4 linked regions of the Oreochromis niloticus genome follow. The protein of the gene in region 1 interacts with the protein of each later gene in a pairwise test. Links are inferred from orthologs where the notes say so. Each region holds a gene or a part of one and is shown on either strand. Other genes may lie near its edges. The genes, in order: necab2, ccdc146, ehhadh and nek6.

Region 1 (7,337 bases):
TGCCTTGTGGAGGGTTCTTCTTCGCCTGTCACCCTCACTGTCACTGGCTCCTGCATCATGGCCTACACTAGCAAAGAGGTTTGACTCTGTTTTCTTCACCATTCTGCACTGTAATTGTGCCAAAGGGAAAAGGACAGTGTTGAGTAATATGAGAAAAACAATAACATATATGCTGTTTTGAGTTGATGATGATTTTAAGCTTTTTACAGTCAACAAAGCTAAAAGATTAGTTATCTGGGTATTGATTTTGAGGCTTTTCCAGAGGGAATAAAATCTAAAAGGTGCCTTGTCAGCACTGTGACTCCTTGACTCATTGTAGGAATGGTTAGAGGCCAGCATCAGGTAATGAAAGACATTGATTTGGCTCATTTGGAACAGGCAGCAGCTGCTGACAGATTTAAGGATTTGTAAAAACTATTAGTCAGTTTCAATTAGCTGAGTACTTCTGAGAAAATGCTTTAGGAAATTTCTCATGTTATGTTATCTTGAGAATGAGTTACAGATAATTTAATTTTATCATAAATGCAAAGATTCATTTCTGTGTTTGGGATAAAACCCTATGCTTGATCAGATTTCTCTTGCTGACAACATCCAATGTAGCAAGATGATATAATGACCTTGAAAGTATAACCTTTGTAACATTGATCAAGTAATTGTTGTCACCCTGTCTCTGTGTCCAGGTGGTGAGCTCTGTGTGTCCAGTTCGTGGCTCCCACACACAGACCCTGTCTGTCCTCAGCCCCACAATCCAGTGTTGCACCATCAAACCTGTCATTGAGGGCAAGCATTGGAGTTCTCCACTCTTTGTGACCTTCAAGCCGCGCCAGAACTGCATTCCCAATAACCTCCCGATCTATGACCGTGACTGCTCCTGGAAAAAACACCAGGTAGAAGAGCCACCATCTAAATACAATCTATTATTTATTTGAAAAACTGGGTATATTTAATACTTTTTAATATTGAAAAGGTTACAGATAATAAAACTATCTATGTAACTATAACAATTTAATTAATCTCTGTTTATCCTTTCTCTTGCCTCAGGGATCTGCCTTTTTTTGCCTTTCCCGATGGGACAGGTGTGCTGTACACCTTGCAGGGAGCTGCTGATCCTCCTGTGGCAGGGGACACTCTTGTGCATGAGCTACCTGCTAAAACTCTCCACACACTGTTGCTCCCTGTGCACAACTGGCTCTCTAGGCAACAAAGGTAAACACTTAGTCGGGAACTATATACACTTGAGCTGCTCTTAAGTGATATGTCTCTCCTTAGCAGCTAAATCACCAACTAGTTTCAACTGTGTTGTCTAAACTGAGATGACACAAAATTTTACATTTTGAAATTTTCTACTAGAAAGTAAGAAGTAAAGTGTAGGAAATGATCCCAGTTAAGCAAAGCTTTTTTTGTGCTAATATGGAAATCTATAGTTCCTGGCAAATTATGCAACAGATGTATAACAGAGCAATGAGTGTACTCATCTGTGTTGTCAGGTTCCTTGTGTGTCTAGAGACAGTGAAGCCTGACAAGCCAGATGCTACAGTGTCCCTCAAGGAAATCAAGTTTATTGATGTCCCTGCCCATGCTAAGAGGGACTACGAGTGTTTTGTTTTGTTTTGTTTTTTACATACACAGAGGGTAACACCACGGTTTACTCAAGCATACACATCCAGACTTGGATGACTATTTTTTTTTTTAGCCTTGTTCTCACATCATCCTTTTATCTTTATCCTTGGGTGACATTCATTAATGATGAGACAGGCGAGTATTTGTTCTACCTCGTTATCTTCAAAGGCAACATCTCCAGGAGTCCTGTCCACCATCAAGCTGGGGACACCTGTTCGTCAGGTGGCCTCGGCCACTATTCAAGTAGAGAACCCTCTGACCCAGACAGCCTGCCTCACTAAGGAGTGTAAATGTCTTGGCATCATCGTCCAACCTCAGCACAGTGTGCCAGGACAGTCCAAGGTAGATAATGAGTACATCTGCCATCACATTAAAAAAACTGTGTGGCCACAGACAGACTCTTGCTGGCATATGTGTGTGTCTTTTCTTTACAGGTTTTTTTGACTGTTCATTACATGCCTCTTCATCCAGGCGAGTCTACTGCCCGTCTAACTTTGTTCAGCAATGAGCTGGGCCACTTCCACTACGATCTGCTTCTCAGAGCTCTGCCCCCACCACCAGAGAAATCTGTGGACAATACTTTGCTGGGCAGCAGCCACTCTGTCACTGTAATGTTTAACAACTACTCACGCTTCAAAACCGAGTACTGCTGCAAGGTAAAAAGTGGCAAAACAAATAGCCCTTTCTTTCCTTTTTGTACATTTATTCTAGCAACAGTACTTTACATGTGGTCAGTGTCAGCATTCATCACCGAGGCTTCCTTCTCATCTGCTCTCTATAATTCGTCAACACAAAAAGTTGATTTACTTGCAAACACCTTGTGTTATCTCTGTCCTCCAGACTGACCGTCCGGCCTTTATTGTAGACAAGAATGTCAGCACATTACCAGGTTTCCCTTCGGGCTCAAAGGCCAGCATGGAGGTCCGTTTCAAGCCTTATCAGCTGGGGTAAATAAGAGGCCAGCTAAGCCTGTCTTCAGTAATTGGTGGTGAATACATCTTTCCCCTACTCAAACCTCAAGGCCCGTTCAGCATCAAAGCCGGTGGGAACGTCATTATCCTCTTCAAGAATGTGTTCCTGCAGACCACCACTTTCTCTCTTCTGGTAAAGAGCAAGTAGAATTTACAAAAGTCGGCACTATAAGACAATCAGAACAAAGAGTGAAAGTTAAAAATGTCTTATCAACATAGCTGACAATGATTACAACATTCTAAAACAAACACCCTGCAGGCAGCCAATACTCTTATTAAAAATAGGGATGCTTTACTAAGGCTCATTTCCTTTAAATATTTGCACTGGGTTCATTGCCAGCCAACACGGAGCAAGATGATTTAAATTTAGCCTGGAACAGATTGCAGTGTGCAGAGTGGTGCAACCTGGCTTATGTTTAGACAAATTGTACTCCTGCTTGTATTAAACGCAGCTTTCACATCTTCAGCATCTATAAAATGTTTCTATTCAATTTATGTTTCATTTAAACATGTCTCTTATTCAGATTTGACGTAACTTGAACCCTGCTCATGTCTAGGTTGACAACTCCCATTTTACTGTCAATGGAGGGGGCAACATTCAATCCAAAGAGACCCCGAAAATCCTGGTGTCATTTGAGGTTCCTTCAGACGGCTCTCCAGGACCATGGTTAGGCAGCTAGATCATCTCCAGTCGGCACTCCGAAGGCCACAGGAGGCCATACTCACGCGTCTATTATCTGAAGGGTCTTCAGTTATCTTAGAGACATGTGCAGACACAGAGAGATTGACTATAGATGTAAACATGAATGCACTTAAGAAATTAGGCCTTCATTGCTGGATGTTCGTATGTTTCAGTTGCATGTTTTGTTATTTTTCTGTAGCCTGTTAGCCATTTAATTGCCAAAATGTTCAAGCCAGAATGTGTTGTGTATTTGTGTGATTTAAATAAGTGGCTGTCACGAATCTGTTGGTAAATATTTAATAATGAACTCAATACATCCTGCATATAAGACTTGCCCAGGCACGTCACTGCACATGTTTTACCACATGGGGGCAATCGTGTCAAGTGATTGACCCTTTCTTATGTTCCAGCGATGGGGCAAGATGTATAACACGCCTGACTTTACTTCCTTGTGGTAATCGCGATAACCTGTTTGTTAACTTTGCATCGTGACTGAATTCATCCAGAATGCTCTGCGTGCTGTTAAACACATGGTACATTACGGGGAAGACAACAGTACAGCGGAAAGGGCAAAGCTGGGGGAGTCGCTCATTACCAAAGGTTAGAGCTCTCACATAACACTGATCCTCTAATGACTCCTTTTTACTCCATGTGGAAAATCCTCTGATCCACCCATTGCCACACATGACTGCTGGCCCACACCTCCTGTTGTCACTGTGGAAGGAATAAACTGTGCCACGGTCTCCAGTCAGATTCGGATAGTTCAAAGTGATCTGCAACTTTGCTATTTTACAACACCATGAAAAAATAGTCATGTGTTTTTACACTGTAGTAAGAAAAGTATTAGCACTGAAGGCGAGACATTTTAGCACTTAGAAATATGAAAGCGTTGATAACAACACTGAAATAAAAAGTGCAATAAACTCACTTAAATCTCCAAAGCTGTTAAATATCTGCCTACAAGCACGTATGGGTAGATAGGGCTCTGTAGGGTGGGTGGGTGTGATTTGGGGTGGGTGCTGTGATGTAAGAGGGGAGCTGGGGTGGGGGTGGGGGTTCTCTCTCCCCCATAGAGCGCAGCATGAGCGCTCCGCAGCAAAAGGATGTGTGAGCAGGCAGCGCGCTACTGTAGGGACGGAGTCCACAAACTGCTGAACAAAGAACAAGCCAAACTTCGAGCCCAAGAAAGCCGCGAGCAGCCGAAACCCGTAGCCGGTCAGGACAGCGAGTCCGCAACGGCAGCGCAGTCCGGAAACAGCGGCGCCCAGCCCGGTGGAATCGACGGGCTCGTCCGCTGGATCGTCACCAAAATGAGCGACAACAAGAACATCTCCAGCCGGGAGTACGCCTCCAGTAAGGAGGAGGTGGCCGTGGCTCAGGAGCAGTTCTTCGCTCCGGAACCGCGGAGAGGCATCTCCGTTATTTTGGATGTGAGTATAGAAATGCACCGGGTTGGCAGGTGCAGGGCGGGTGGGTGCTCGGGATGAAGACATCCAGTGAACAGCGCGTACGGACCGGTGCAGTGCGCACTTACGCGCAGATACTCGTGGCTTGGTAGAGTAGGCGGAAGATTTGACACTTTGGTGATGAATGTGGAAGCCCGGGAGCAGCCTCAACGCGCTGAGCTCAGTTTCCATATCTTTTCTGAATGACCCATCCAAAAGATTCACTGTACTTTTATTGCATCTTATTAAGCAATATTCTCTTATGCGTCTTTGTTCACTTCTTCATCACCAATAAAAGTCACGCATTTATAGTCGAGAGGCAGCTTTACTTTTACTCCTGGCTTTACTGTCAGTCCAACGTGCAGTAGCTACGCTCACACCAATTTTATGACTGCTATTTAATTATTCATGAGAAGGTCTTACTACCATATTGTTATTGATCCATTCCTTACAGCCACTGCTTAGTATTCTCACTCCCGATGTAATGTCTTTCTGTTATCAGACAGCTGATAACGGAGCAGCCTTCCTGCATTAAAAGTGGCACTTAGCGCAGTGCTGATTTGGGTCAACTCATCAATACTATTGGGTTACTTTTCATCTTGGCCGCTCTAAATGTTTCCCCAGGAGATCTGCTGATGCTGCTTTATTAGGGTAAAAAACAAAAGAGAAAGTAGTTCAGCTTCTGCAAAATCTGACCCAGACCTAAATAATCTGATAGGGTGGTAAAGAAGGGGGTCCATGGAAAACTAATTATGATCAAAACCACTGCACCAATGTATCCTAGTACCCTAGTAAACTCATTCTGTCTGTGTTTGTGTGTAAAGGATGTTGTAAGGGGTGTAGCCTAGTTTGCTGCGTCGTTGAGCCAAGCAACTGTCCGCTAAGACAGATGTTACAGTAAAAGTGTTTGTAAGTGAACAAGCAAACAAAAAAACTGTGCTGCACTCATATCTATATTTGAGGAGAGGTTCGTTGTCATTGTATATGCATGTATGTGTTCATATTTTCATTTTCTGATTAAAGGTCCTGGATTGCTTCATTTTTTGTGGTGTTTTTTCACCCTCTCACTCCCTGTTAGAAATCTGCCATACTCTCTCAGAGTGGCTGACTTCCTGATATCAGCTGTGAACTCATTCTGGTATTTTCTCTTGAGCCCTCTGCAACGTCTTCAACTTTGAAATGTTAATCGTTTCTTCATTTTCCAATATTATTGACTCCAGCGTTATTATTGTGGTGAACAAGTCGAGACCAAAGAGGTTTGAGTGATTGCTCTGCACGTGCGCATGTGCCCGCGGGCAGCGCTTCCCTCATTAGATCCTCAGCCTGCTTGTTTTTCCTTTACTGTTCAAGTCTTCGCCTGCATCATAACCCCACTGTACCTTTCTCGCTATTCATTAAATTCCTTTCATCCTTTGTCTCTTCCTTTTCCTTCCCTTCTCTCCTCACCTAATTTCCTCCATATCCTTTTTGCCCTCCCCCCTGCCCAGAAACATACATTCTTAATAAGGTTAGAGATGGATGCAACACTCTCCTCTGCCTCTGTCTTCTTTTTCTATTTTGCCGGATCTTCTCTCCTCTGCTGTCGCTCGTTTTCTTCTCACTCTGTGTTTCTGTTACGATTCTTTACAAAAACACACACACACACACGCGCACGCACACACCGCCTCTTCATCGCAACACTTTGCCTCCTCTCCAGGCTTGTTTGTTTCCAGTAGCTCCAGAGTTGGCTCTTTTCTGTTGAGTTGAGTGCACCCCAGGGTGCAGCCGGAAAGCAGAACAATGCAGAGCAGCTTGTCATTTGGAACGCCACTCGTCTCAGCAGTTAATGATTTTCTCTTTGGCCTGTTGAGATGGCTGCAGTTGCTGTGTGAATGCACCACTTATTTAGAGTTTAACATGCCTCCTGCTCATAAGTGCAAGAATCTATATATCAGTTTGTGCACTAAAAAGTGCGACCTTTCCTCAAGTTTTCAAATTGCATTCATGATTATTGACCACACTATTTAGATTACTTTGAAATTAAGGCTGCAACTAACTGTAAATTCATTATTTGTTCTGTTATGTCTACAAATCATTTAATGGATTGATTAGCATTTGTATATTTCTAACTAATGTAAGCAAATATGCTAAATATGATAAGGAAAAGCCTAAAATCCTCACATTATGGCACCAGGAAACAGAACGGCTGTCATTTTTTGCTTCAAAAAATAGCCAGACCATGAAGAAATCAAAATGGTTGCTCATCCATTTTAATACATTCCGATTTAAACAGTGAAATTTTTCTTTTGACATTTACACAAAGCGTTATTGAGGAAAGTATGAAGTAAGTCTAGAACTTTCCTGGCAGTTGCAAAGGTTATTGCAGAAGACCATTTATAAATATTTCTGCAGTTCTGTTCTCAAATGTGGTTAAAATAAATATGTCTACTTCACACATTCAAATGCCATCCACATAATCTGTGGTGTAAATTAAGATTAAACATGGCCAAAATTTCAAATCATGAGGTCAGATTATGGGCAACTAATCACTGTAATCCAAAAGCCAGGCTTCAGATCTCCCTGAAAACTCAGTTTCTTCTACTCCCGGGTCCATATGATATCAGTGAGAGCTTCCATCCC
Region 2 (6,975 bases), on another chromosome or scaffold:
TAAACTGAGGGTTACCAGAAGAGATTTTTTCACTGGTCTTAGACATTTTTTTTTCTCTTTCTGTCCTGCTGCCTCCTGCCATAAACCCAGCGTAGAAACACAGCGCAGCACATACTAGTAGTAAAAACTAATGAGCTATCACTTTCTCTGCTGTAAATGATTTTGTAATTAACAGCAGCCACCCAAGTGAGGTATACGAGAGCTGATGATACAGTTTTGAGTGGGTCCGATAATCATTACGAAAGACCTCAAGCTGGAGAGTCAAACTGTTAGAAAAATTACAGCCAGTAATAAATGTATAGCTTTACTTGGCCCTTCTCTGGCATTTATCTCACTGCTCTGGGTCAGCTTGCTGATTTATCATTATCCCATACCACAGAAGACATCCCAGTATAAATACGCAGCATCCAATAAATTTCTAGTCATGTATGTGTGTGCATTCTGCATTATTGATGTTTTACTAGATTCTTCTTGAGAGCAGCCACAAAGCAGGACATTGCAGTGAGGAAAAAAAATGTGTTTCCAACCTTTGGATGCACCGAATTACTGCACACTTCTCTTTGCCATAACCTGTAAAATCCTCCTCTTGTACAATACTGCTATCTAATGCTAGGAAACTGTATAGCACCATTTATTTCATTTTATACACACTGTAAATGGGAAGGATTGGGGAAAGAAATGCTTCATTATGAGGATGTGTACAGTATTTATTTTACTTTGAGAGGTATGATAGCTTTTATATGATACAATGGTCATGCAGTACAGAGTTTAATGATTGATGACATTTGAGTAATGAGAAGGACTGGGCATAATTGTGATCATTCATAGTAAATATCTGCGTAAAATTGAAATTCTTTGTGTGTATCAGATTGATCTTTTCTATCATTCATATTCAGCTCTTGTGCCAAAAGATATGCAATTTTTATATTGGGGAAAAAAATAAAATTAATATTCCATGGCTGTGTTGCAGATTTCAATGTTCCATCGGTTTAAAATCCTTTTCATGCCTGCTCCACTTGTGTACTGGAATCGCCTTTCAAATGAATGTATACAAAAACTGTATACAAGTTTCGCATGAGTGTCTTTGAAAGTGTCTGCCGTCTAGTGTCCGAGGCTGAATGAGGCTTGTAAAAATGCAGGATGAGGTGCTGCATGCCCATAACAAATGGGTTTACGAGGTGTTGAACCAATAAAGCCACTAAATAAAAGGCAGATTTCATATCGGCTTCACAGAAGATGATAAAACTGTGGGACTGTGACTTTACTGTCTGTTTACTGTCTGTGATGATAAAGTTAATAAAAGTGTTGTGCTCATTCACAGGATGACTTCAAGTCCTAAATATTCACTTTTTTTTTTTTTACACTTAATGTTTATGACAAACACTTTATCGCACATTATGTATGTGCAATACTTTGATATCAGCAATTAAACTGCAAAAGAATGGAGGAAATAATAGTCCTGAACATTAGCCTTGTGCAAATACATGCATCTATATCATATCTGATACTATTTTCTTTTCTTCTGAGTTATGGGAGTTAAATCTCTCACTATAACTATCAAATAGGGATGTTTATCTTTCTGAAAACAATTTAAAAATGCCATTCACAAAATAATAACAACACAACAATGCACATGACTGTTACCTCATCTAAACACTGGGAGGCAGGACTAGCAGAGACTTCACTGGAGGTTGAGGGCTGCTTTTCTGGGAGTGACGCATCGGGTGCAACGGCCACTAGAGGGGCGTCCTCCTCCATTCCCTTATCCTCATCTTGCTCTTCCACTTCAACTTCTGCACTCTGAGGCCTGCATTCTGTCTCCTCCTCGGATGGATTCACTAATGATTGGATCAAAACATAATAATATTTAGGACAGAAACACACTAAACAAACATTAGTATCCCACAAGCTGCGTGGGACAGGAATCCGAAAATATCTAAATGTTTGTTACACCAAAGTCCTGGCACACAGTTTCAACATTTAATGCCCTTCCCTATGCTTGCTTACCAATAAATAAAACATAATATGACTAAAGGTGGGCAGCACAGCGGTGCAATGGCTAGCACTGTTGTCTCACAGCAAACAGGTCCTGAGTTTGACTCCACTATCTGGCTGGGGCCTTTCTGTGTGGTTTTTATATGTTTTCACCCCGTGTTTGCTTGAGTTCTCTCCGGGTACTCCGACTTCCTTCCACAGTTCAAACACATGCAATTAATGGGGTTAGGTTAATTGGTAATTCTAAATTGCCCATAGGTGTGAATGGTTGTCTATATCTGTGTGTTAGTCCTGCGACACACTGGCGGCCTGTCCAGGGTGTACCCCGCCTCTTGCCCTATGATAGCTGGCATTGGCTCCAGCCCCACTGGGACGCTCAGAAGGATCAGCGGAAGAGGATGGAGGGATGAATAGAAGTATTGTATGTGCGGAATACACCGAATTAGCCATGCAAAAGCCTGCTTTTATTCTGAAGGATTACGCTTCCGCCGGAAATCAAAATCAATAAATATTTTTTTAAACGTAGATCCCACAAAGTAATTTGTGAGCACTGTCCTTAAACATATTCAAAACATTTTAAGATGATGTATATTATTTGACCTCTAAACGTCACACAGAAAGCGTACTTTCTCGAAAAACGCAAAAAGACCAAATTATGACAGCTTATCGGCTATAACTGGTGCTAAGCGACTCCAGCTTAGTTTCTGCTTCTAAATTCTGTTAAAGCACACGAGAAGGCCATAAAAATAGAAAAAATGGGCTAATGTGATACAAAAAGGTGTATACGACATAACAATACAGCAACGAGTGTGTTGTTCAATTAAAGCATGCAGAAACTTACTTATTAGCCAGTTTACTTGCTGTGTCCGGTTTTTTGGTGTTTGTTAGATAAACTAGGAAACACATTCCTTACTCTTATATCTCTGGAGTCTTCACAGGCCTTTTTAAAATATATATATTTAAATAATTTCACAGCCAATCTCAGCAAAACCCAATCACCGACTTTTCACTTTCGTGGTGTGTTGTGGTTACCATAACAACGACGCTATACGTCCACTTTAATATAAGGAGAAAGCCTCGAATTTCACCTCTACTGAAAAGTAATGCGCAAGCTATGGTTATTTTTTCTACTTATCTACCGTTTTCTCCTGTTTTATTAATACACAAAAATCCCAACGGACCTCATTCAATCCGAGAATTAAAAAAAACAACAACTCATTTTACACTTGCAGCGCATGTCCAGCAGATGGCGTTAAATTACAGGTTAATTAAGCCTTTTTATCTCTAGCGCGTAATCGCCGTGTGTAATGAAATTGGCTCCATGGAACAACATCAGTGGCCAGCTGGCTGAACACCCTGAACTGGTGAGTGTTGAAAACCTTAAAATGATATCCAGGGTGAAAGATGGCAGTGATTCAAAGCCATTGTTCTCCTGTGGTGTTGAAAATTTTTTCCCCACATTGTACTGTGGGAGGTGGCATGACCCGTAACTTATTCCCGGCAACAGCTGCTGAGATGTGTTGTCTCAGCAGTATATGTATGTGCGTGTGCATGCTGGTATGTGATCCGTTAAAGATGTTCCATTAGGAAAGGATGTGATATTACTACAAAAGTTGTGAGTTTACTGGCACCAGGAAAGAGAAACCTTCTTGGACTTCATTTCTTTAGGGGCTTGGCAATCCTCAAACATTTGTTATTTGTTGAATTTTATTTTACACTTACTTGGCATGTCCAACATGTCCATTGGCTACACACACACACCACAAACAAACAAAAACCAATTCATCTTCTAAGTGTGAGTTCTTTTTTTGTCTAGAAAAGTCATAAATTTGGAATAGTAATGCAGTCATGTGCATTCACAATGCCATGTGTACACCCAGTGGAGATGCAAAGCCCTGACAACACACATATATACCTTATTAGGTAAATGTTGCTAGTAGGGTTGGACATCATTTTGCTTTCAGATTCAATGCAGGAAACATTCCTTTAGAGATTTTGGTCCATATTCACATGATAGCATTATGTACATGCTGTAGATTTGTGGGCTGTACATTCATAATGCTAATCTCAAATCTCAAAGGTGCTCTATTCGATTGAGGTCTGGTGACTGTGGAGACCATTTGAGTACAGCGAACTTATTGTCATGTTCAAGGCCCCAGTTTAAAAATGATCTGAGTGTCAGACAGACAGCAGCAATTCAAAAGAGAACCCAAACGCAGATTCAGTAGACTGTTTCTTTCTTATTCACAACACTTTATTGAACACAGGGATCATTGGAGTTAAAACAGGGCAGTGAGAGGCTTCACAGGAGCGCGATCCACTATTGCAGAGGCAGTGATGAATCATTTCTGCACACAGGATTGAGGTGAGAATATTTACAAAGATGAGTGATGAATGGTTGTTTACTTGGGGTCGCAGAGAGCCAAGTTTCCTGACGGTGATGTGGTTTTCCAGGTGAGTGTCAGAGAGTGTGACTGAATGAGTGAAACAAGATGTCTGACCTTTCCTTTTCTTTCTCAGAGTGATGGGGCGTAGCAGTGAGCAGAAGGGCAGGCAGGTGAGGTATCTTACCTTTTCTTTTTGCTCCCGACAGCCGAGGAGGAGTGAGCAGCAAAAGCCAGCAGGTGAGTGCTTGACAGGTAGCCAGTAGGCAAGGAAGACCAGTGTCAGAGAAAACCAGGAGAATGATTGAAGAGTGTGACTGCTGATCCAAGGCCAAAGATGACACCATCAGCTAACAATCTGCCAGAATGTTGAGGACTGAGCTGGTCCCAAAGTACAGCCTGGCTGATTGCTGCCAATGGACTGCAGGTAAGAAGAGGAAGACAGCTTCAGGAGCCAGAGTGGAAAAAATACACCATAAAACTGATACACAACACTGAGCTTTGTGACATGGTGTGTTATCCTGCTGGAAGCAGCCATCAGAAGGTGAGTACAGTGTATCATAAAGTGATGGAAATGGTCAGCAACAATAGACGATGCTGTGTGAATTGCAGCCTCAGTTTCGTGTCCTTAGCTAACAGGAATGCCACGCAGTGTGGTCTTCTGTTGCAGTGTGTTCAAAGAAGCTCTTCTGCATGCCTTAGTTATAATGAGTACTTATCTGTTGCCATCCTATCAAGCTCAAAGTAGTCTGGGCAAGCTCCCCTGATCTCTGGCAGTCAAATGGCATTTTCAGCCAGAGAACTGCTGCTCACTGGATATTTCCTTTTTTCTAGATGAGTCTCTGCAAACCCTAGAGGTGACTGTGCAAGCAATTGACAGTAGATAAGCAGTTTTTGAAATTCTCAAACCAGCATCTGGCACCGACAGCCATTCCACATTTAAAGTCAGTTAAATCAGCTTTCTTCCCAATTCTGATGCTCAGTTTGAAATTCAGCAGGTCGTCTTGAGCATATTCAAACACACTGAGTTGCTGCCATGTGACAGAGCTGATTAGATATAAGACGCAGTTGAACAGGCATAACTCATGAAGCAGCCTGTAAGTGTTAGTTAGTGAATGCACACAAACAGAAGCTGCCCCTTCAATTATGCAGTAATACTTACATTCAGATATGTACTAGACTTTTCACTGCCATCAATACAGCAGCAAATTTGCCTGTTACTCATTTCAACATCATGTCCCATCAACTGATAAAAAGTTGGTTATTCAAGGGTTTTTTTGTCTTCAGAGTCATCAGCTAAAATGAGATCTTTCCAATTTGTGACATTTTTTTCTGCTACAGATGTAACAAAACAGGGGAAAGGATCAGTGACAACAGCATAGCCCATATAAGTGAAAAGCTGGAGAGATGAAGGATAATACCACCTGCAGCCCCTTAGAGAACAAAATTCTCTTTTTAGCTTACTTGCTAAGCAAACATGTCAATAACTTAATAACCACCCCCTCATGTTTGACACAGCCACATTTCCAAATTAACCTTGAAAAGCCTCCAACAGTCTGGATATGTTATCTCTCCAGTCCTGGAAGGGTTTAGTTTATTTTGGTATTTAAAAAAAAAAATGTCCCTAAGTACACCATATTTGGGTAAATAAAACATGACCCAAAAATAATCTGTTCTGGGATGAATAAATCAGGATTGCCGTGTATTGTGGGAATGATGGATATTTGTGCATAAAGCTGACATTTCTTTAGCTGTTGAGCTAGTCAGTGCTTTACATTGGGGGTGGGGGGGCTCCTTTGACTTTGTTCATATTTTGCTGATGTAACTAACTTTTCAAGTGTCAAAATATGCTGACTACACATGTTATAAAAGTCTGTTCCACCATGTCTTCTCATCAACCTAACCATAATTGCTGGCTGGGGATTTATGAGTTAGATTTTTTTTTCACCACAGTTCAAAGTAACTCCTGTAAAGTTCGACAATCTACAACAGATGTTGATGATGCATGTTGTGTCAGGCAACATGGGGGACTTAACAAGGCAGAAACAAGGATTACACACTATGTGCAAGTGATCAAGATCGGATTATGGATATCGATGCTAGTCTTGTGTGAAGGAAAATAAACATCCACCTGAATAAGATGTGAAATACTCAAACAAAATCTATGCTGACAGCAAATCCGAGCACAGTCGGGGTACCAGGGGTATTTGCTTCTCCTCTCTTGCGGTTTTGTAAAACAGGTGAAAAACCAATGTTACCGTGGGTGTCGCACAATGTGCATGCATGTCCCATCTGTGTTTGTTTGCTCCAGAGCCCACGTACAAATCAGGCCATAGGAAAAAGTGACTTTTATGCAACATGCAGACTCCAGACCTCTGTTTTATTGCAGTACTGTAGTCACAACAAATGCAACTTGGGGATTTGGTGTAATCTTACAAAACCCTTCACCACCACAACCCTCGCTTTCCTTGTTGGAAAACTGTTTCTAAATAACTTAATTAACACAGACACACACACTCAATGTGTGTTGTCTGTACATTTAGTGTGCTGTTAGCTTTTTCTTGTCCAATAGCCTTGTAGACAACGACTGGAGACA
Region 3 (7,340 bases), on another chromosome or scaffold:
CAAAATTAATAGCTTAATGACATAATGCCAAATGTATTCGCTCGTTTGGCTTCACACACGTGAACTTGAGTGACATCCCATTCTTAATCCATAGCGCTTAATATGATGTCGGCCCACCCTTAGCACCTTAGCTTACAGCCATACAACCCTGAGCACACCCGATCTTGTCTGAAAAGGATATAACAGTTAAGGAGTCCGCTTACGGGAATTTTTGACCATTGTTCCAGAAGCACATTTGTAAGGTCGGACACTGTGTTGGACAGGAAGGCCTGTCTCCGCGCTCATTCATCCCAGAGGAGTTCTATTGGCTTGAATTCAATCATCTGGATGGATGAGTGAATACTTTTGGCAATATAGTGTATGTTGAGCTGAAAATCAGAGTTCTTTGCACTCTTACGCAGAATGCTTTTATGCTTCATCCTAAGGCGCTGCCAAGTCTGTTTCACACTGTTTAAGCCGCAGGTTAAACATAGACCAGCTGATCTTTTAACCTATTTTTAGGATTTATTTGTAGGATATTCATCAGCCAAAATATTTAATAGCTAATTAATTACATTTTCATTTGGCAACAAACTAAAGTGATTTCCACGTCTCGGTCATCAGATGGTGAGATGGAGACAGAGCTGTTTAAGTGGATCGAGTTTAAGGTTTCAGAGTCTAATGTGCAGCTGTCAGAAAGAAACGAACAAACAAAAAAAACAACAACACGTAAACTCACGAATTCACAAGATTAATGACTTCCTGCCAGTGTTGCTCTGTTGGCTTTTTATTTTTTATTTTTTTGGGCCAGCAGTATTGCCTTTAGTGGTTACATATTTCATATTCTTTACAGATCTCTATCACCTGCTCCTCTACAGGTGTCTATGACTGGAGTAGGTGGGACTCAATCTATTTTATGAGCAAGAAGAGTGATGTAGCAAACACCCCCTTTCACATAAGCACACATACAGCCTGAAGCAGAAAGGCCTACCTAACAAAGAAAGCTGACATTGTGGTAGCCGTTATCTCTGAAATTTTAGGTTATGGCTGGCTCTGTGTCAAACTTTCTCCTGGGCTTCATGAGGGAACACAACAATGTCGCTTCTACACGTTTGACAGCAGAGTCTAAAATTACATCTGTCAACCATTTCTTCCGTTTCAAGGGCAAGAAGTCACTGATTTATCAGATTCTATGTGTAGAAATGAGTATACTGGATTTCTAAAGTGATAATATGATATGGCCAATGTCTCCTTGTAGGAAGTGTTGTTGGTAATAATAGCTTGACAGGTAAAACCTTTGATTTTTGTAAATAAGATAAAGCATAGCCCTCTTTACTGTTTATTTACAGCACACACGGCCAAATTAACAGTTGTTCTCTGAGAGAACAACCACCGGTATTTCAAAAGCTTTCTATATTTGTTTCCTTCAGTGTGTTTTGTTTGTGTGACAGCCCGGTCGTACCTTTCTCTGTAACGTGGAGACTTTATCTGGGAAGAGGTTCACAATGTAGTGTTTTCCAAAGACTTGGGAGAGGAGGAAGCACATCGTAGAGCCCACAGTTGTGAGCACACAGGCAAGCAGCAGTCCTTGATAGGGTCCAAATATAGCTCCCGCAAGAATGTTCTACACAATGACAAATGGAGACCAAAAGCCCGCGTTAATAGGCATCATCTGACACACAGCTCTGTGGCGTCTCTACATGCGAAAGGAGAGAAATACTTTGTGGTCTAACACTGGTGTGAAGCCAGTATTTTGGCAGTTCTGCCCACTCAGATTGTCATTTGCATTATCTGAATATTCTTTTATCCTCCGCATTTATTTAAACAAGAGACACAAGCTGCATGCCGCATGCTGTCCAAGTGCCTTTCGAATTTTCCTTCATCTTGCATGCAAATGTAATCTTTTCACACCTACAAGATGTGACACTTTTGGCATATTTTAGCCCATGTGTTCTCGTAATGTAATTAAACATACAAAATGCTTCATTACAAGGATTTTACATGTGTTTTAAGACAGCCAGCATAAGAAATCTACCAGTTTTGTGCTCATCACAATGCTTTCCTTATCATCCTGGATCTGTACACAGGACATTACCTTACCAGGAATGAGGATCCAGGAATAGCAAAGGACTGCTTGTAGAGATAAGCACTGCAGAAGAGGAGCAGGACATATCCAGTGTGCTCTGTCTTGTAGAACTGCAAGAGTTCAGCGAGTTCCCGCAGCTCCTCCAAGTCTGAAGGGAATTTTAACCTGTGAGAACATTCACATTTAAGTTAGTCATTTCTGTCAGGCCAGCTTCATGTTCACAGAAAGACCGGCAGCACAGAAAAAATATCATTGTGATCAAAAATGTTTTAACTTAAAGTTACTTTTAGATTTAAATAGCTGAAAGAGTAACCCATGTGGCTTCTGCGGGGACTACAAACATGGTTTGATACCTATACTTATCTGCTAAAACTGATACCAAAACAGTCTTTTTACGTCACTTAAAAAACTAAGCTATTTAAATAAAACTGCATTTTTTTCTAACTACCATCTGTTTTACTATTGACAAATCTCACTTCAATCCAAGATAACCAGCCACTCATTGATTTTGCCATGATAGTACAAAGAATGAAGTGAGTTTCTTTGAAAGGTTCATTCTTTGTGGGACAGACTCATACAGTTAGCATCACACTGTTGCTGCAGATTTTGTCAGCTGCACATCCATGGATGCAAATATCCATCCCACCACATCCCAAAGGTGCTCTATTAGATTGAGATCTGGTGACTGTGGAGGCCATTTGAGTACAATGACCTCATTTTCATGTTGAAGAAACCAGATTTAGTTTATCTGACACAGTGCGTTATTCTGCTGGAAGAAGACAATGGATGCACTGTTGCTATAAAGGAAAGGACATGGTCAACAATGACACTCAGGTAAGCTGTGGTGTTTAAACAATGGTCAGCTGATACCGAGGTACCCAAAGGGTGCCGAAAAATCTGCTGTTGTCCAATTTTAATGAACCCGTTTGAATTCCAGCATCTGTTTCCTGTTCCTATGTAATCTTCTGCCGTTGTAGCCCATCTGCTTCAGGGTTTGATATGCTGTGAGAACAAGCCATGTTCTCACAGCACAGAGAACTGCCACTCACACCGTTGGCTGATTAGATATTTGTGTTAACAAGCAGTCAAAAAGTGTACCTAAAGAGTGTAAGTAATACTTAGGCTAATGAATGATACGTGGATCCAATTACACCTCTTTCTATGACGTATCTGAATGACACAAATACCATAAGGGGTTTTCCTCACTCAAACATGGGACGTCACTTGAAAACTTGACTGCTTTGCATGTAATTTAGGCGAAGACTGTCCTGGCTTGGTGCACCTTTTATATGGGGGAAAAAATCGTGACTTGGTTTGGGATGACACAGCTTTGAATTTGTTCTTTTTCATGCATTACCAAAACTACACTTCAGTGCAGTGAAATAAAAAAAAAAAAAGTTGGGCCCAGATAAACGCCATATAATGCAGGAAGAGCTGGACACTGTTAATCTACTGTATTAAACCCAAATTAAACTTCTACAGTAAACAACAACACAACACTTGTCAATTATGACCCAATGACAACCTTGACACGTGTTAAAGCTGAAGCAAAAACTGGACTTGCTATTTTAACTTTAGCTTTTCCAAAAGAGGCTTCAGTTAGACAGTTTTTAGAGTCACTGCTTTTTGAAGAGGAGGTTAAAAGCCAGCAAATACTGCTGCCTGTCTTTTTATGAGCTGCATGCTAACATTAGCTTACTAGTGACCCAGCGGGGTCCAATTTAAATAAAGCTAAATTATGCACAGCCTATAACATAGCCCAAAACAATGGGTTACCAGCCAGCGGCTAAATATACCAGTCACCTGCTGGGCTCTTCTTCCTCTAAGGAGTCGCCGGGCTGCTGCTGTTGCTCCTCGGACACATGTCCAGCCTCGGCGCTCCGGACAGAACGCTTTCTTGGTCCCGCGGGGAGGTACAAGGACAGGGAATATAGATACAAGCTGGCTGCGGCGACAACCGTAATTAGTCCTACGAGGGAGCGCATGTTCCCCTGAGTTTGATAGCCGGAAAAAAGCTTCACCTCCCGGTTGCTGTCAGCGAGAATGACAACGGCAAGAAGCGGCCGGCAACCAACCGCCGCAGTGACGTCACATCCCCATGTCAATAGAACAGTTAAAATATTCAAATTACTAACTCACAAGTACCTACAAGTGTATCTTATAATTTATTAATCTGATTTAAGTACATATCAATAATATAAAAGGCGGGGAAAAAAATAATTATTCAAAAACTCTGCTTCCGGTAGGGGGCGATAGCGCGAGTGTTTGCCGTAGAAGAAGAGCGTTTGTTTACACGGAGGGGGAAGAAGTGTGACAAAGGTGATGAAGCGTTGCTAACTGGATTAAAGTCAAGTTTCAAAGTTCAGTCTGCACAGCAAAAAGAGAAGTGCGACATCTCCAAGTATTCCTTCGACACCATGGCTCAGTACACTCGCGTTTCGGGCTCCGTGGGCTTGATTACTCTCCAAAGTCCTCCCGTTAATGCACTCAGGTGAGCCGATTTAATGAAATTGGTCTGCACAACTTCTTATACTGCAATTTGCTTTCTTTTAGCGTGTCTCGTAATGCGAAATAACATGTGCCTGATTGATTTTATATACAGTAGAGCTGTAGCTGCAACAGCAATTTGCAGCTTGCACAGGAACAAGTAGTATTATCACGAAAGAAAGCTTTGTGCACCAGAAGATAGTAACTCAGGTGTTTTACCAGAGGGTGGCGTCAGAGAGAGTGATCCTCTGATTGCTGTTGTAAATGGGTTGAACCATAATCTGTCAAACATGAGTGATATCAAGTCTTTCTGTGCCAAAGTTGAAGTGACTTTTGTATGTCATTTATTTATCCAGTAAAAAGACTTATCATACTTAAAAATGTTTTTTTAAATAAATCTGGCCAAGAGGGGATTAGAAAATTAAAACAAATACCGTAATAGTTGTATAAAGATATTTTAAGTTGCCATAAAGAAGCGGATTGCTTATCATGTAGTGCGCAGCGTCGCTACTTGCAAAACAGATCCTTTGTTTATTTTATATACACCCGCTTCATAAACCCTGGTGTCTACAGCCTGTTTACAAATAGACACAAACGTTTTGTAGTTTGTCCTTTTTTTAGACTGCTGTACAGCGGTGTCATCATGCAGATTATTCCTAAACTGGCAGCTGCCATTCTTCTGCATATAGAGTCAGTAGGTTTTGATACCTGTAAGTACATTTTAGTGATCAGTTGATCTCATTCACGGCATTTACTTCAGGGTGATTTATTACCACCGCTGCTTTAGTAACAGCTTGAGGCTTAATACATTACAACAGAGAACTGTGATTAATTAACAGCACACTAAAAACACACCCAACCACAGTATGATCTACTGGACCCTGGAACCTTTACTGGACCTCACAAGTTTACTTGAAGTCATTTAAGCTGTAGCAATAATTGAATCTATTTACTCTCTAGTTATGCTATCATTGCCCTGTTTTACAGAGACATTTTCTCATCTTGTTTTTTTTATTCTAACTGATGTGTACCTTAAGAGTTAATAGACTGTATGATGCATTTTAGTAGCTTCGTAAGCTAAAATTATCAAAAAAGAAAGTACATAGATGTTAATTATCAAAGTTTATATTGCTCCGCCTGTCTTTGTTACATGCTTTTGTTTTAAATTTGTGAAGAAGGGCCACAGCAGAACAATTTACTGTCAAGTTTAAAATTTCACAAAGTGTGAAAAAAAGGCCAAATAAAGTTGTGACTTTTTTCTCATGCAGTGCAGCGGTGAGGCAAGGTATTGTCGACTCGATGCAGAGAGCACTCAGTGAGCCAGAAGTGAAGTCTGTGGTCATCTGTGGCCAGAATGGGATATTCTCTGGGGGTATGGACATGTTTGTTTGTTTTTTTTAATCATGTACCATGATATTATTTATAATGTAAGTGTCTCTGTCTGCCCATCTTCTTCCACTTAGCACAATTTTCATTACAACTACATTTTCAGTAGTTTTATTATACATTTTTTTATTAATTTAATGTTAATATTACATCATTAAAAGGTGATTTGTTGCATACTCGTAATGCAGTAAACAATACAGATCCTGTCATGGCATTTGCAGGTGCAAAACCAGAAGTAAACTGCTGTGTTTCATTCTGTAAAATATCAAAAATAGAGAAAAATGTTTTTTCTCAACTAAAACCCAAATATATCTGTCAGACAAGGTTGAGAAAAGTAGAAAAGACCCACACAAAATAATGAATTGCTGATCCGCATATCCATCTCTCATGACCTTTCTTTCTCCAAGTTCCTGATCATTTTGTCAATTTGAATTTGTGCAACAGGAGCAGACATCAAGGAGTTTGGGGGACAGATGTCTGGGCCTCCCCTGATACCGATGATCCACGCCATCGAGGCTGCTTCCAAGCCCGTGGTGGCAGCTATAGAGGGGATCGCTTTAGGTGGAGGCCTTGAGTTGGCACTTGGCTGTCATTATCGGATTGCACACTCTAAAGTTAGTTCATGCTTCAGATCTCTGTCCCTGTCGGCCAGTGTCTCTTTAATGTCAGCGATGAAACGCATCGATGTCTGTCAGTATCTTGCATGTTGTGAAGCTTTTGCATAATAATGTTTTTTTAAATTGTGCAAATGACTAGAAAAAGAGTCAGTTTGTCTGTGTCAGACTTGAAAAAGGTAAAAAAAAATCTTATCTGTCCAGAATACATTTGCTGAGAATTGATATTTATGTCACTCACAGAAGCCATGCAGAATAACACACATCATATTCAAAGAATATTCCCAGAAACAGTTTTCGCTAATGTCTAAACCTCCACAGTTCAGTACGTCCCGTTTATCAAATTTTGTACCTTTATGTCTTTTCAGGCCAGAGTGGGACTTCCAGAGGTGACTCTGGGGCTGCTGCCTGGTGCAGGGGGAAGCCAACGTTTGCCGAGGCTCATCGGTGTCCCGGCTGCCTTGGACCTCATCACCACAGGTAGCAGAAAGAAGTTAACACTGTCTGACTTTGATGAATAAAGTTTCCTAAACATGGCAACTGCCAGCAACTTTTGGTTTCTGAAGAAGAGTACGTCCTAAAACGTTTGATAAGAAAGCACCCAGACATGTCACTGTAAGCAGTCCTGCTAAAAACTAATGAAAAACTATTCAGTAGGATGTAGAACCACCTATAGAGGCAATAGTTTGACTTTATCAGCCTCTCACATCATGTGTTTACAACATTGCTTCAGTTCATTGAGGTTTGCTGGCATTCGAGGATGCAGAGCTCTCTTAAGGTCTCAAGAC
Region 4 (7,551 bases), about 2.9 Mb from region 1:
TCAAAAAGATGAAGGAAGAAAACTGGTAAAGGACACTGCAAAGTGGCCTACACCAAAATTGAAGGGGCTGCAGGAATTTCTGGCAAGCACTGTACTGTACTATTAACGTTTCTCATGGTGTCTGTGCACATATGTTGAGATCTGTCCACCATACAGGGGTTTGGCACATTTGAGAAATATGTCAAAGATCTACAGTTCCTCATCATCCATATCGCCAGACACGGTCAACAAGGCAAAGCAGCGGAAATCTTTCTGTCAGATGACATCATTTATCCAATGAAATAAAGAGTTTAAATTAGCTATAGACCATGCATTATGTCTTGTTTTTTATTTTATTTTACACATCGCCCCAAAGTTTAGGGATTGCAAGAAGGGGTGGGTTTAAAAAATAGATTTTCCTATTCAAATCAGTTTTAGTTTGAATAATGCGATATCGATTCATTAAATCCTGAACTGATTTTTAAATATATTTATTTAGCCAGAAACACCAGAATCTCAGCTTAAAGCTCACAAAACTATTTCAAAAAACCACCAAAGAGTTATAACCCCAAACGATTAAATAGCAGGTAAACACACTCCACAGAAAGATGTAAACGCAAAGCGCAACCCGGCGGCACGAACACGGACACCTCATCGGGTGCTAAAAGCCGACATCTCACAGATTCTGAAGCTGCAGGTTTGTCACCCTCCAACCAAAATTCACAGAAAAAGCAGCAAATGAAGATCAAAACTACGCTTCACATTTGAAAAATATTGTCATAAATTCCCTCGGTGTACTTCCAGTTTACCACCAAAAATTTGTGTTTCTGCATTATTTGCTTGCTTATTAGGCACCAGTCTACCGTTGTGTACAGTGCTGTCGACTTTTTTTTTTAAATGACCTCCTACAAGAAAGCCTAATTTCTGCTGTTCAATACCAAATAAGTGTAAACTTTTACAAAATATGCCAAATTGCAAAACGCTGAGCTATAAAACATAAAAATAAAAAGTATATGGATATATACTGATAAATGATCATAATTATAATATGTCTGACTGTCTGACTTAAAATTGAATCGAACTGAAATCTTGAAATTGAATCGCTTATAGTAATCAGTGATGATATCCAGCCCCAACTGCAAGGATTGTTCTTAAAAAGCAGGCAAAGTAGGGCCTCCACATCACCCTACTAATATGGTGTCTCAACACAGTGCAGGAATTTTCTTACTAAATCTGTCATTATAATGATATAAATCTCATAAATACACCATATCTGTATACCAAAGCCAATCTATAGATCAGCTGTCCTTTTCTATCATGCCACTAGAGTAGCATGCAGTCATCGTCTCTGCTGCACTTCTCAGTCCTGAAAAGTAGCATCCGGTGTTGGGGGGAAAAAAACATCTAATACAGTTACCATGCTTACAGTGGCTACATATCCACTCACTGTCAGTCACCACTAACCGCGCGGAAAGCTTTGTGAGTTACTAGTACACCTCAGTGTCATTAAAAATATATAAATAAAAGGTTCTTGTTTTTTGTTTTTTTCCAGGTCCCGTCAGTGTTTTTAGCCTGTGTCACAACAAGCCAGGGCCTCATACTCTACGATATCTTCTCTGTGACTCTGTGGAACACTGCTAACACAGCAGTTTTAGCTAACGCACCGAGAAATATACTTACTTGATTCGAGACCCCATCCTGTATTTAGTCTCCCCGCCGTGGCTGGCAGCAGACAGGCAGTACGCAGACGCGTCACTCGGTATTTTTCTCAAGCTAAGCTGCCCGTCACACACAACAGTACACCGCCATGGTGACTCTCCATGCGTAAGTCACGCTCCACTTTGTGCCGCTCCTGGGATTTGTAGTCTTTTAAGTAGAAGACGTGAATGTCTATAACATACCTCTACCTAGTATTAGAAACTACAGCTTCCACAATACGTACAAGACGACTGGGTCGCGTGGTGCTGTAGCCGATAAAGTTTCTGTTACTCAGCATTTACTGTAACGGTAGCTCCAGTACAGTTAATTACATCATTTTGAGGTTTTATAGCTAATAATTAAAAACAATTTTGGAGATAATTTATAGTTTAATATAAATTAGTAATATTTTCTACCAATATTAATTTTGAAATAATCTAAAAGATAAATTATATTATTTATGTCACAAACATTTTGTTTTTAAATGTAATGTAATGTAAAAAGAAAATAAATGAAAATGACAGCTACATGGATTAACAAGAGAAAAAATTGGGGCGGATGCTCCAAAAAAACAGCAGATTTGTGTGTCCTGTGTTTTTTCTTATAGTGAAGATGTTTTTTCCAAAACACTAGAGCAAAGTAGAAAAATGATCAAACAAAAATTCCCACAAAGTTTACATCTTTGTTCTACTATTCTCTAAACTGTTCAAAATATTTAAATGAACCTTCTGAAAACACATCAGACCTCAATAGGAAAAAAAAATTACACTGGATATCTATGCTGATGTGGACTGGATAATCTGTTAGGATGCCACATTGTTTGATGGAAATGAAAATTATCAACCTACACAGGGCTAAATTCAAAGACAGTCCAAAAATCTAAGAGGAAAAAACTGATGCAACAGACTAGTCTGTTTTTGCTGAAATTTCATTGCTGCAATTCAAAGTGGTATTCAGCAGTTTATATAGCTTCCACATGTTTGTATGCATGACTGACAACATCGGGGCATCCTCCTACTATGATAACAGACAGTATCATGGGGGATGTCCTCCCAGATCTGGACCAGGCCTTCACTGCCCCACAAACTGAACCAAAATATAATGTCCAAGAGGCGTTCTATTAGAAATACCTCAGGTGAGTTTGGGGGCAGGAGGAACCCAATGCACAAGCGTTGGGTCTGACAATGGCTCCAAGGATTTCATCCCAATGCAGTCAGGGTGCCATTGCCTAACCTGTAGAGGTCTGTGCGTCCCTCCATGCATATGCCTCACCAGACCATCACTGACACACCACCAAACACATAACTTTTTCAGGCAGCATGACATTCTCCACAGCTTCTCCAGACCCTTTCACTTCTGTCACATGTGCTCTTGGTGAATCTGCTCTCATCTGTGAAAAGCAAAGGGTGCCAGTGGTTGGCCTGCCAATTCTGATATTCTATGGCAAGTGGGCTCCATGGTGCTGGACGATAAGCACAGACCCTACTAGATGGCATCGAGCACTTGTGCGTCATGAAGTCTGTTCGTGATTGTTTGGTCAGAGACATTCACACCAGTGGGCTTCTCGAGGTCATTTTATAAGACTCTGGCAGTGCTTATCCTGATCCTCTTTGCACAAAAGAACAGATACTGTCTTGCTGTTGGGTTAAGGACCTTTTATAGCCCCGTCCAGCTCTCCCAGAGTAACTGCCTGTCTCCCGGAATCTCCTCCATGCTTTTGAGACTGTGCTGGGAGACACTTGAAATCTTCTGGCAATGGCATGTATTGATGTGCCATACCGCCAAACAGTCAAAAAAGATGAGGAGGGGAAAAAATATTAGTTTAAAATCATTCTAGTTTTGAGATTTGTCTCATTGTTGCCCCACTAGTGCACTTGTTGTTAATTTTATTAACAAAGCAGCTGAATTAACGACCCCTTCTGCTACTTTACCTGACCAGATCAATATCTTAGAAGTTTAACAGAATCAATGCTATGCTCTGATAAAAAAAATAATAATCTCTTTTACTCTGCAATGGGTTAGGGTTAAGGTTAGGTATGTATATATTTTCTAAGTTTACAACCCTTTTGTTATAAATGCTGGTCAGGTTGTTTTAGTTTAATTATGTTTTGGGTGTGGTTCACACTGCAGAGACAAAAAGGTGAAGCTTGAACTAGTCTGGCTCTGTCGCTATTCTTAGTTCTGTATCAGCCTGCAAGCCTGGACCATAAGATTTGCAACAACATCTCCTTGAATTCTTTTGTTAAAGCCCTGTAATTAAAGTCTGCACTCCAATCGCATATTGATGTTTGATTGATGCTGAATCCACTGTGGTGGTGTACAGAGGCAAAAAATATATAAACCCCCAACAAACAAACAAACAAACAAACAAACAAACAACACTGACCCGAATAACCATGCCAAAATACTATTGCCAAAGCATCAAAAATACATATACAAATAAATAACACAACATAACATAAAACAGCACAAGGATAAATGTATATTAACTCAATTTGATTCAATATGCTTGATAAATAAACAATTATAAAATGTATGCACGTGTGTGTGTTCAGGTGTTCTTTTTTAAAAAATTTTGATACAAAATTTTGCTTTAGTAATTTTGTTTTACAGACCCGAACTGGTTAAAGTATGTTTTTCCTTGCTTTGTTGTTTTGTAGTTGTTTTTTTTAATTCCCCGAATGATTAACGTTTTAATAGAAATTTCATCTCCGTTTCAATCTCATCTGTCAAACGGCCACCACGTTTTTTTCTTTCGTTTCAACATGTTAATTTATACAAATCTATTTTCAGACCAGACTCTAAAAAAAAGCCCCATCCCGTATGCAGGAGACTGAGAGAAAAAGTAGGGCGCGGAGACTACTGACCCACAATTTCGCGTCCACTTTAGCAACCAGAGACTGAAAACTTTGTCGTATCGTTCTGTTATTCAGTTATCAGCGAGCTCTATTGAACAAGCTGCTGGACAGCGAGCGGGGGCGGGGGGCGATTGAGAGACACTCGGGGGCGGGGGTCTGACTCACACTGTTGGTGTGAGGAGTTGCACAACAACACGAACTAACAGAAGTTGTAAAATGTGGAAGGCCTTCACGAAGCAGGACGTTACTGACTCCTCTTCAGGTAAGACACAGTCAGTAGTAAGGAGACGGTGGCAGCTCGCAGGATTGTGCAGCAGCTCGCTTCAGTAAGTTCATGTGTGGCTGAATCATAAAACGCGTCATGGAACAGGATACAGCCTCATTTTGGAGAGCTGCACAACCTTCGTAGCAGTTAACTAGTTAGCAGCAACGTTAGCGTGCTGCTTACCCGGACAGAAACGAGACCTTATAGATTCCTGGTCTATAGTTTAAACATATTATTATATTTTTTTCTATTTCAAACAATCGTGCTGCACCAGGCCCGGAAAAGAGCACGCAGCAGAACACTTGGACTGAAATTCACATCCATTTCATTTCCATGTTTCCATTGCCACTTTAAAGTAATTATCGGCGACCTGTCACTCAAGCTAAATGAAGTAATGGTGAGTGTTATTGGGCTAATTCTCCTCTCTGCAGGCTCTTCTTTCACAACAGGAAACCACTGCAATACTCGTAACTTTTGCAGCTCCTGGTTTATCTTCCTGTAAATATAATTTTTGTACTTTTGACTTAGACCAATTTGGTTTATACATTAAGTTAATCAATTACAATTCAACGTGAGGTAATTGGGTAGGACAGAGATGTGGCACTGGGTGTATTATGTGATAGCATCTCTGTCATTATATAAAAAAAACAACCCCTCCAAACAAAACACATCCGTATAACAATGACAATAAATTTCTTGAAGAGGTTTCAGCTCTCATCCAAGAGCTTTTGCAGTTCTAAAACCAAATGTTGGAGAGTACCAGGTATTGGGGTTTGTCCTTTAAGACGTTTGTTGACCCACTGTTTATCATATGCTCATCACATGAGTCAAGGTGTGAAAAAAAGGCATGGGTCATTACAACTACAAGTTTTAGGTGAAACCACTGTGACCTGTTGAGATCACCCAATTAAGTTTATTTTTGTTGTTTTACCAACAGTAGCCAAAAGCTAATGGGCAATAGTTTCATAGAGCACTCGACATTGTTGAATATGAAGGGAAAGGTTGAGTAGTAAGACTGTCTATACAGGAAGCGACTAATAGTCATGTGGCATCCAGAGATTGCCAATGACATTGAGCAACTTCAATCAACAACGATTTTCTGCTGGCATATGAGGGCGTGGCAGCTATGTCAGATTGTTGTTCTTTTGGCTGCTCCCTTTTGGGGTCCCCACAGCAGATGCCACCGTCTTACCTTAGCATGTCTCGTCAACCCTCTGCATGTTCTTCTTCACTACATGAAGAGTTATGTTTATGTCAAAAGCTCCATGTGAGAAAAAAGATAATCAGAAGCAATGCATTTCATTTCACAGGTGCGGGTATTCCTTGACACTTGTGCAAAAAGTCAAAAACATATGTGCATACAACTTAGCAAAAATGCATTTTTGGGTTGAGTAGCATAGTTGTGCCGATGAAAATGCCAAACTCTGCCAATGCCAAACAGCTTATTCTGCTATTCACTCTTTTTCTTAATTTCTGGTAATCAGGTGTCCTGATTAGTGCATGATTAGCATGGACCATGTTACAGTGATCAGTTGGTATCTGCTCCAAGCATGTCATATTTGCATTTGGCAATACATTTATTACTTTCTAGGCTGGACTATTATAATTAGTTATTATCAGATTGTTTTTGAAAATTCCTTAAAAAATCTTCAATTGATCCAAAACGTTTGCTTTTGGTTTGTTTTCATTAGAATCATAAGTTGCGAGAGAAGGTACAAAATTGTTAAAATAACTCATCTAGTCATATTAACTTAGCAGACACAGAGATGCAGTTACTTTGAGTCACTTTTAGTGATCTGATGGTCTGAAAATACCTTTGTCTTTTTTCCAGTAAAACTAGAACAAAGGCTTGAATTATTGTAGTCACCACAGGACCCAAACCTGTTGCCCAAACCTGGCAACAGTCCTTTTGTAACTGGAGAAAACTGAGTTAATGACTCCAAATTGCAATTAAGTACAGTATCTAGGTGAATGAGTCATTAAAAAAAATTACCCTATTCAAGAGTTGTTATGATTTGGATAACTATCCATAGAAAGTAAAACTGATTCTTGTAATAAACTATAAAAATGCTCTTATATGCTGTTCAGCCTGCACAGTTGGGTATGGATGTGACATGTACACTGCTAAATTGAACGATACAGCTGTGACTCAGGGGTTGAGTCGGGTCATCCACCAATCAATCAATCCCTCACTCCTCCATTCAGCATGTTGAAGTGTCTTTGGGCAAATGATTGAACCCCAATGCCTTCATCATAATGATGTAGGAGTGTGCACGTGGCAAGTAAATTTACCCCTGACATCTTTAAACATGTCATTACTGATTCACTTACAGTACCAGTCAAATGTTTTGACACAAAACGTGCTTACATGCTTAATGTGTGTAATTAATCAGCAAGCTTTCAGTATTGCTTGTTGCAAACAGTAATACCAACATATTTAACTGTGGAGCTTGGTTAGTGAGTGATAAGAAGAAAAACACAAAAACATAAACCACTGTAGATGGTCTCATTACTAAACTGTGTCACATGCATAATTCCTTAGCTTGCTGTGTAATACAGACACACACAATTACCTTGTGTATAGTTTGGAAAAATAAAGCAAACTGATTTTTTGACATTTATTAAAAGAAAAATAAATCTTGTTCGTGCTGTATTGATTCCTTTGCTAAGACAAATAAATCCTTAGCAAAGGAATCAATACAGCACGAACAGGGTTTGTACCAGCATTGACAAATAGGGAAAATAATAACA

What was found.
Region 2: the proteins of necab2 (region 1) and ccdc146 interact in binary tests that used the Homo sapiens proteins (3 or more experiments, as listed by UniProt). The two-hybrid records come from large-scale screens. The link is inferred for Oreochromis niloticus from reciprocal best matches to the Homo sapiens genes NECAB2 and CCDC146.
Region 3: the proteins of necab2 (region 1) and ehhadh interact in binary tests that used the Homo sapiens proteins (3 or more experiments, as listed by UniProt). The two-hybrid records come from large-scale screens. The link is inferred for Oreochromis niloticus from reciprocal best matches to the Homo sapiens genes NECAB2 and EHHADH.
Region 4: the proteins of necab2 (region 1) and nek6 interact in binary tests that used the Homo sapiens proteins (3 or more experiments, as listed by UniProt). The link is inferred for Oreochromis niloticus from reciprocal best matches to the Homo sapiens genes NECAB2 and NEK6.

The regions. Positions count from the first base shown.
Region 1 is NC_031972.2:7,361,201-7,368,537, reverse strand, and holds the start of necab2 (N-terminal EF-hand calcium-binding protein 2), read left to right. Parts: upstream 1-4,320; 5' UTR 4,321-4,376; coding exon 4,377-4,703; intron 4,704-7,337. Other genes in the region: hydrocephalus-inducing protein, read left to right, coding at 856-887, 1,042-1,206, 1,488-1,632, 1,789-1,962, 2,055-2,276, 2,461-2,571. UniProt on the Homo sapiens protein: May act as a signaling scaffold protein that senses intracellular calcium.
Region 2 is NC_031981.2:8,528,357-8,535,331, reverse strand, and holds the start of ccdc146 (coiled-coil domain-containing protein 146), read right to left. Parts: upstream 3,024-6,975; 5' UTR 2,838-3,023; coding exon 2,837-2,837; intron 2,158-2,836; exon of another isoform or gene 2,008-2,157; intron 1,839-2,007; coding exon 1,645-1,838; intron 1,319-1,644; exon of another isoform or gene 1-1,318. UniProt on the Homo sapiens protein: Essential for sperm flagellum biogenesis and male fertility.
Region 3 is NC_031987.2:14,329,828-14,337,167, reverse strand, and holds the start of ehhadh (peroxisomal bifunctional enzyme), read left to right. Parts: upstream 1-4,340; 5' UTR 4,341-4,482; coding exon 4,483-4,556; intron 4,557-5,820; coding exon 5,821-5,924; intron 5,925-6,382; coding exon 6,383-6,552; intron 6,553-6,920; coding exon 6,921-7,032; intron 7,033-7,340. Other genes in the region: tmem41aa (transmembrane protein 41A-A), read right to left, coding at 1,442-1,603, 2,080-2,230, 3,869-4,050. UniProt on the Homo sapiens protein: Peroxisomal trifunctional enzyme possessing 2-enoyl-CoA hydratase, 3-hydroxyacyl-CoA dehydrogenase, and delta 3, delta 2-enoyl-CoA isomerase activities. Catalyzes two of the four reactions of the long chain fatty acids peroxisomal beta-oxidation pathway.
Region 4 is NC_031972.2:10,216,263-10,223,813, forward strand, and holds the start of nek6 (serine/threonine-protein kinase Nek6), read left to right. Parts: upstream 1-4,532; 5' UTR 4,533-4,751; coding exon 4,752-4,797; exon of another isoform or gene 4,798-4,861; intron 4,862-4,930; exon of another isoform or gene 4,931-5,197; intron 5,198-7,551. UniProt on the Homo sapiens protein: Protein kinase which plays an important role in mitotic cell cycle progression. Required for chromosome segregation at metaphase-anaphase transition, robust mitotic spindle formation and cytokinesis.